2 linked regions of the Mus musculus genome follow. The protein of the gene in region 1 interacts with the protein of each later gene in a biochemical or structural test. Links are inferred from orthologs where the notes say so. Each region holds a gene or a part of one and is shown on either strand. Other genes may lie near its edges.

Evidence for each region.
Region 2: the proteins of Gab1 (region 1) and Grap2 form a complex in vitro, tested with the Homo sapiens proteins (2 studies listed by BioGRID and IntAct, with this or other methods). The link is inferred for Mus musculus from reciprocal best matches to the Homo sapiens genes GAB1 and GRAP2.

What each region holds. Positions count from the first base shown.
Region 1 is NC_000074.6:80,877,622-80,881,726, reverse strand, and holds the start of Gab1 (GRB2-associated-binding protein 1), read left to right. Parts: upstream 1-1,247; 5' UTR 1,248-2,123; coding exon 2,124-2,195; intron 2,196-4,105. UniProt on the Homo sapiens protein: Adapter protein that plays a role in intracellular signaling cascades triggered by activated receptor-type kinases. Plays a role in FGFR1 signaling. Probably involved in signaling by the epidermal growth factor receptor (EGFR) and the insulin receptor (INSR).
Region 2 is NC_000081.6:80,645,588-80,649,159, forward strand, and holds part of Grap2 (GRB2-related adaptor protein 2), read left to right. Parts: intron 1-485; exon of another isoform or gene 486-549; coding exon 550-765; intron 766-2,270; coding exon 2,271-2,387; intron 2,388-2,835; coding exon 2,836-3,015; 3' UTR 3,016-3,572. UniProt on the Homo sapiens protein: Interacts with SLP-76 to regulate NF-AT activation. Binds to tyrosine-phosphorylated shc.

The sequences.
Region 1 (4,105 bases):
TAACTTAGCATCTACTTTTCTTTTCTTTCTTTAATTTCTTCACTCCTGCCTCCATGTCTCTCTCTAGTCTTTCTTTCCCTCCCCCTCCCCTACCTACCTTGGCAGGCCTGGGATTACAGGGGTTCTGCCAGGCAGGGCTCCCAGCACCTTTTCCTCTTTACGACCCCCAAGGTTTCAGACTCAGAACACACATTTATTAGGAGAGCCCCAAACTCATGCTTCTCAGAAATGCTTGTTTATCTATTTGTATTTTCACACAAACTCCCTTTTTGAGACAGGGCCTCTTTATGTAGTCCTGGTCGCCTTAGAACTCACTTTGTGGACAAAACTGGCCTTAAACTCACAGAAATCTGCCTGCCTCGGCCTCCCAAGCGCTGGAATTAAAGACATGCATCACCATGCCCAACTCTTTAAAATTTTTGTCTGATTATATTGCCTTCTAAAATTTGTTCCAAGGCTTTGTTTCAAACACACCCGTAAAGAAGAGTCTGTTACAAGACTGTGTCAAACTCAGCCCAGATATAATAACTGTAAAACACACAAAAAGGCAAATAGAATTAGGGTACCCAGAATGATTTCTTTTCCTGTCCAACATCCTAGCGCAGGTTTTAAACAAACACAACGCCAACTGGAAGAAACAGCCCATGAGTGGAAGCAGTGTGAGACTTTATCCTGTCTTAGAGATACACGCAGCTGAACGCTTTGTGGAGGCTAAGCGGTAGCATCACTCGGTAGAACAGCTCCTGGGTCAGGCCCTAGGCACCCAGGAGGTCCCCCACCCCCTTGGTCTCTGGGTGCACAGTGAGGGTCCTAGCGCGCTCCTGGTCCGGGAGACGCAGTCCTTCAGTCTCTCGAGCAGCCAGGACCCGCTTGAGTGAGTTCTCCTCCTGGCTGGGTTATTTTTTCAGACTGTCAAGTAGGGAAATCCTTCCGAAAACTCTGGATCGCGAAGGCACAGCCGAGTACAAACTCCTGACCCTGGGGGTTGTCAAGATGGCAAACTCAGTCGGAGCTGGCGAGAGTGCCCGGCACTCCCGCTCTCACACTGGGGTGGCGCTGCGTTCCCGGAGACCGCCGCCTTCCATAGCGCGCGGGCCCGGGGCGGCGGGGCGGCGAGGACCCCAGCGCGCCTGCTGACTACAGATCCCAGGGTGCCTCTGCCATCTCGCTCCCTCCCAGCGCCGGCCCCGCCTCCCCAGCCCTTGTTGTTTTGGCTGGAAGCGCTCCGGAGGAGTTTCAGAGAAAGTCTGGGCTGAAGCTAGAGGCGACCGATCGTGGGAAGGGGAGGCAGAAAGGCTAGGAGGAGGAGGGCCGGGGCCCAGGCCGCGCCTCCCCGAACCCGCCGCGCGCCCCCGGGGTGGGGGAGGAGCGCAGGGGACAGGACAGAGGGGTCCCTCCCCGAAGCAGAGCCGCCCTGCGCCTCGTCCCTGTGCTGATCCCCGCCCTCATCCGAGGCTGGAGCGCAGACCCACCCTCCCACCGCGGACCCGCGACCTCCCCGACGCCCGGCGACGCCCTGACCCTCGCTGCTGGTCCGCGAACTCCCTAGGCTGATCAGGACCTGCCCCTGTGCCGGCTGCCACCCGGACGCCGCACGCCTTCCCAGGCGCCCTTTTCCGAGCAGAGGGAAAGAGAAGATCGAGCCCCTCTCAGTGTGAATGCGCCAACGGGCGGAGCGGAGCGGAGCGGACACCGCGCGCGGGCATTGTGTGTGCGCGTGCAGCGTGGGGTCCGCAGCGGGGAGCACCCGCGGGAGGTCCCGTTTCCAAGGGGCGGAGCGCAGGGCTTCCAGTTCTGGGCTCCCTGTCCGGACAGAGTCCCAGCGGAGCCCGACCGCTGCCTAGGCGGCGGGACGGCGCGCCTGGCGGCCAGGAGGGCGCACTGAAAGAAGGTCGGCGAGCCCTGGTCCCCGCGGTTCCCGATCGAGTTCCTCTTCAGTCCGCGAATCTGCGGGAGAGGTTCGATCGCCGACACAGGGCGCGGGGAGCCGGGCCGCCCCGTCGGGGGAATCTGAGACGTCCTCTGGGCTGCGTTTGACTGCCGTGCCCGCCGTGCACGGAGCGCGTCCACTGTGTCCACCGACCCCTTTGGTGTCTGGTCCTCGAGTCCTCACGGCGTGCACCATGAGCGGCGGCGAAGTGGTTTGCTCGGGATGGCTCCGCAAGTCGCCCCCGGAGAAGAAGTTGAAGCGTTATGTAAGTACAGGTCAGGTCACCGTCTGCCCCGCTGCAGCAGCCTGCGCGCCCGGTTGGCTCTTCCACGAATCCCGCCCTCCTTTTCCTCGATCCGTCTCTCGGCCGGCGGGCTCCGGACCGGGTGCGGTCCACTCCCACCCTGACGTCCACTCGGCGGCCAAACTTTCTCCCTCCATATTGCAGACTGCCTCCCTTGTAGGCCTCGTTGCCTGTTAGAGAAGCCCAGTTTTCCAGCTCAAAACTGGCTGCATACTTTGGTTGTTGTTATTTCCATTTAGCAAGGGTGGAGTGAAACAGGGAGAAAGAGCCTTCTTTTATTATCTGTATCAGATTCTCATGGAGCTGTTAAATCTCCCCTCCCCGAGAAACCGCGGAGGTAGTAAGTACTCATGGGTTCTCGATTGGGTCCGCGCCCGCTCTCCTTTGCGCCTCCAGGAGGTGGAGGGAAGTGAACTGTGGACGCAAGAAGTGGATAATATAGGCAAACTTCTCAAAATATTCGCTCAAGGGAAAGGGGAAAAAAGTTCTTATGAACCCTGCCGTCTGCTTAGCATTTTCATGGTTTTGCTTTGAGGACACTGGATTTTGGCCTGAGAACCCTGGCGGTTTGATTCGGCAGGAGGGCGCTGGGGGGAGCCTGGTGGCTGGTGTTTGGGCGCCTTAGAAGCGCTGTCAAGCCCCGCAGGAGGGGACAGCTGAAGCCAACAGGGATTTCTTGATGCTGGCGTTTCTTTTCCCGGGCACCAGAACGGCTTAACTGGTATTTGCGTAATTGATTCAAGATGCTGATTGTGAGATGACTGTGTTCACGGTTAGGAAAACTGTATCTTGAAGGAGCCTATAATACTTGAGTGGAACTATATCCTCATCGGGAATCTAGGGTCCTAAGTCTTCCTTCAGATTGGCTAATTTTGCGATGTACCCTGTCAGTAAAGAAATGACACTTTGTACCGGCATTTGAAACAAGTATTTTTAGGGTGAAATGTGTTTCCCAAAAGCAAAACGTGTACCCACTTAATTAGAGTTTACTACCTGTTTTGATGAAACCTGTTTCTGGTGGAGGGGCGTCTACACCAAGAATCATCGGACTACTCGCTTGCTTGTGTGAAACCAGGCAATATTTATTTTCACGGAGCTCACCAGCGAGTTTCGGGCTCACCTTCTGGTATAATTTAATACAGCCAAGTAATTTCATTGAAAGATGTGATTTGACAAATTGTCAGAGGTTCCCCAAAGATGTCTCTCCATCTGTCACAGTTTGCTTGGATTTCTTGGTAAAGATGGCAACTTGATTCCAGAAATTTGAGAGTGGCAGTGACATCTTCAGAATTAGTTCTAAAGAGACGATTGTGGTGAGGCGATGAGGGGTGAGGAGATAGAGGTAAGGCACTATTTAGGAAAGACGGTTTTAGGATTCTTGAGGAAACTAAAGTACAATATATTTGCTGATCATGCAGTCCGGTGCATTCTTTCATTACTTATGGCCTGCCAGACATACTGAGTTCTGTACTAGGCACCAGCCACAAGGTAAGGAGAAAAGCCTTGCAGGGAAGGAAAATGACAACTAATAAGGGACAGATATGGTGGTATTATATGCCCAATACCACCCAGCACTCCAGAGGCAGAAATGGGAGGCTCCGTGGACAAACTGGTCTCCATAGCAGATTCCAGGCTAGCCAGGACCGTGTCTCAAAAATAGAAAACACAAGCACAAAAACCAAATACAGCTGATTATTTATAAAGATATTAATAATAATATGATTATGTTTACTTATATGTATCATTATATGACCACAGCAATGTTCTCCCACAAAAGTCCCAATCATGCCAAACCTGTTAGCTTCTGAATCAGGGAAGAGTGATTGAATTCAGGGGGGTCTGCGAAACGTGAAGCTCAGATTAAGTCTAAG
Region 2 (3,572 bases), on another chromosome or scaffold:
GTAAAGGACAGCTCCGGATGATGCCAAGTCAAGAGTAGAGATATCTGGAGGGTAGGATGTCCAGCAGTTTGGCAACAGGTGACGACATGTGGATTATTTGTCACGCATGATCTTGGCTGACCTTTGCTTTCTCTTCTGAACGACTGTGTGCCCTGGATGGGGAACCCTCTCCTCCCATAATTGTAACATGCCAGTCTCGAAAACAGCTGATGGCCTGGGAGACAGGGTTTACTTCCCCAAAGCACACGTGTCCTTTTCAAACCACCTATCCCTGTCTGTCACATAGAATAGTTAAGCCTGATTACAGACAGAAACAAACCAGTAGGAATGGATTGAGCAGAGACCGCATGGAAACGGATAGATTGTCAACCAGAGACCTGAACTCCTGAGCTAGGAAAGACTTGAGTATTCGCAGGCCACTTTTGATAACGTGGAGGTCTAAACCTTCGATTTTCTTTAAGCCCTACCACCACCACCACACAGTTACTGCCAGAAGAGAGACAGGATCTAGGGAAAGGATGAATCTGGATCTCTTGTTTTCTCTTCCAGGGTCACCGGGGCAACAGCCTGGACAGGAGGTCCCAGGGCGGCCCTCACCCGAGTGGAACCGTAGGAGAAGAAATCCGACCTTCAGTGAACCGGAAGCTGTCAGACCACCTTCCTCTGGGTCCCCAGCAGTTCCACCCGCACCAGCAGCCGTCACCCCAGTTCACACCAGGGCCGCAGCCCCCTCAACAGCAGCGTTATCTGCAGCATTTCCACCAGGTATTTGAGGAGACGGAAGGGACAAGGACAAAGAGCGAAGGCTGAAATAGTGAACTCCAAGGTGGTGAAGAGACGCTGTCTCAAGACATAAGGCAAATGGAGAGAGAGAAAGATACTGACTTCCGGTGCCCAACTCCCCACCACACCACACCACACACACACACACACACACACACACACACACACACACACACACACACACACACACGAAGACTAATTCTCCTGTCATCAGACTTTCAATCCCTGCCCCTTAACCTGTAAAAAGAAAACCGGATTAACACCTACCGCTGCCCTGATTGTTTATCTACCCCTGCCTGCTCCAGAAGGGAATTGCTAGAGGCTTACAGAGAGGGACAATACAATAAGACAACATTGGTCTACATCCCTCCACGGGGCACACAGTCCTTTGTGAGCTGCCTGTATCTACTTTCCCAGGCCCATATCCTGCTACCAGCCCCCACTACCGTGCAAACACGCAACCCAGCAAACGGCACCACACTGGCGTGGCTCAGAGCATTTTCTCTCTTTCTGGCTTTTTATAAACTGTTCTGTCTGCCTGATGAGTCTGTCCTGGCCCAAACCGCTTCTCCTTCAAACTGAAGCCCAGGCACCACCTCTTCCAGGATGCCCTCCATGATCTACCCAGGCACACCTGGGCTTTCCCATTTGCTCATTTAGCACATCACTGTATATGGTCCTTCCTCTAAACCAGCAAATGTTCCTGATTTTTTTTTTATTTGTAAATAGGAAAAGAACCACACAAGCTAGGTATGACAATGCATGCCTATAATCCCAACATTTAGGAGCCTGAGGCAGGAGGATTAAGAGCCCAACTCTATCCTGGGCTACACAGTGAGTGCAAGGTCAGCCTGAGCTATACAGTGGGACCCTGTCTTAAGATTAAAAGGGAAAAAAATAGGGCTAGAGAGATGGCTTAACGGATAAAGTGTTTGCTAGGCAGATAAGAGGGCCGGAAATCAGGTTCACAGCACCCACGTACAAACTAGCATCAGGAACACATCCTTAACCTCACTGCTGAGGCAGATCCCAGGAGCTCATTGGCCAATCAGTCTAGCTGAATCAGTGAGTTCCAGGTTCAGAAACATCCGTTCAAGTGGATAGAAGAGTGACAGAGGATACCCCATATCACCTTCAGGACTCTACACTAACACATGAATATACACATACACAGATGGTGATGATGATGATGGTGGTGGTGGTGGTGGTGGTGGGTTGGTTGCAATCCTGAGGCTCGGGGTACACAAGACTCCCCAAATTACTGTGATTTCATTGAATAAATGGAGGCCATCATCTTTGACTTCAGAATCTAAGATCCCTTCAGATTCCCTCCTGTGTGTTTTCCAAGATGAAGGGTGATGATGGCCAGCAAGTCTTCTTGGGTGTTATCTCAGTAGACAGCACCCCCAAGCAAGGCACAGGGTTGGGGCAGTCTGTGAGAGTCACCACTACTGATCCTGCAGCGGCCCTCTCCTTCATGTCTCTAGGACCGTCGTGGGGGCAGCCTGGACATAAACGATGGACACTGCGGCCTTGGAAGTGAGGTGAACGCCACGCTGATGCACCGGAGACACACCGACCCCGTACAACTCCAGGCAGCAGGGGTGAGTGAGCAGAGAGGGCGAGGAGGTCTCACCAGAGAGGGCTCAGCCTGGCTCATCCAGGCTGCTATTTTCAGACTATTGGGCTTTCACGCTCTTCTCCATCTCCTGGCAGCAGGGGATGCGTGAGGTTTATCCTTGCGATCCAGTACACGTGGCCTTGGGACCTACCCAGTGGTAGGGCACTTACATAACATATATGAGGTCCTAGCTTCCATCCCCTGTACCACAGTAGCAGAACAAGACCATATCAAGAGCAAAGGTAGTACGGCCCAGTAGCTTGGTGCCCAGGGCTGTGCATATCAGGTCTGCTTTAGATTGCTGCAAAGTCAGCCTTTGGGAAGGGCTCGGAGGACTCAGAATAGATCTAGAAGCTCACGGCTCCTCTGTGTGATAGTCGTACCAAAGACCAGCCTACCGAGCTCATTCCCATCTCTTGTCTCTCCTACAGCGGGTGCGTTGGGCCAGGGCACTGTATGACTTTGAGGCTCTGGAAGAGGACGAGCTGGGATTCCGAAGCGGAGAAGTGGTTGAAGTCCTGGACAGCTCCAACCCATCTTGGTGGACCGGCCGTCTGCACAACAAACTGGGTCTCTTCCCTGCCAACTATGTGGCCCCCATGATGCGATGAGTCGTACTGCAAGGCTTAGGGGCTTTTCGTCCAAAGCCGCCTGCAAGACAGAGAGGGGCGAGGGGGTAAAGCTGAACTTTATAATGACACATACATGCATACATGTGCATGTGTGCCCGAGTACACAAAACATGTATATGTATGCCGATGGCTACACACGACATTTTATAATAGTAATTTATTGGCAGGCAGGTTGGCTCGTTGATCAGCATGAGAAGGAACTTGGGTGGCGAGGGGGCCGTTTTGCCAGCTCTTCTCTGCCTGAGAGGGCAGTGGGGAGCTGGGAGCAGGGCGGGGAAATGACCTTTTCCAACCCTCAAACTTTCACCGTTTCCTTCCTGGCTTGGGAATTTTCCAAGAGAGCAGGCAGCTCAGCAGAGATCACACCCCAGGGATGGATGAACAGGGCAAGGCTGGGCTTGGCGAGGCACGTTAGGTAGTTCACCTGGCTCTGTCCACTTACAGGGTAGCTCCCCTCTTTTGCATAGAGCAGGCGCTGCGCCCTGAGAATTAAGGTGTAGCAGATGCAGGGCTTCAGGCACCAGGCAAGTCTGAGC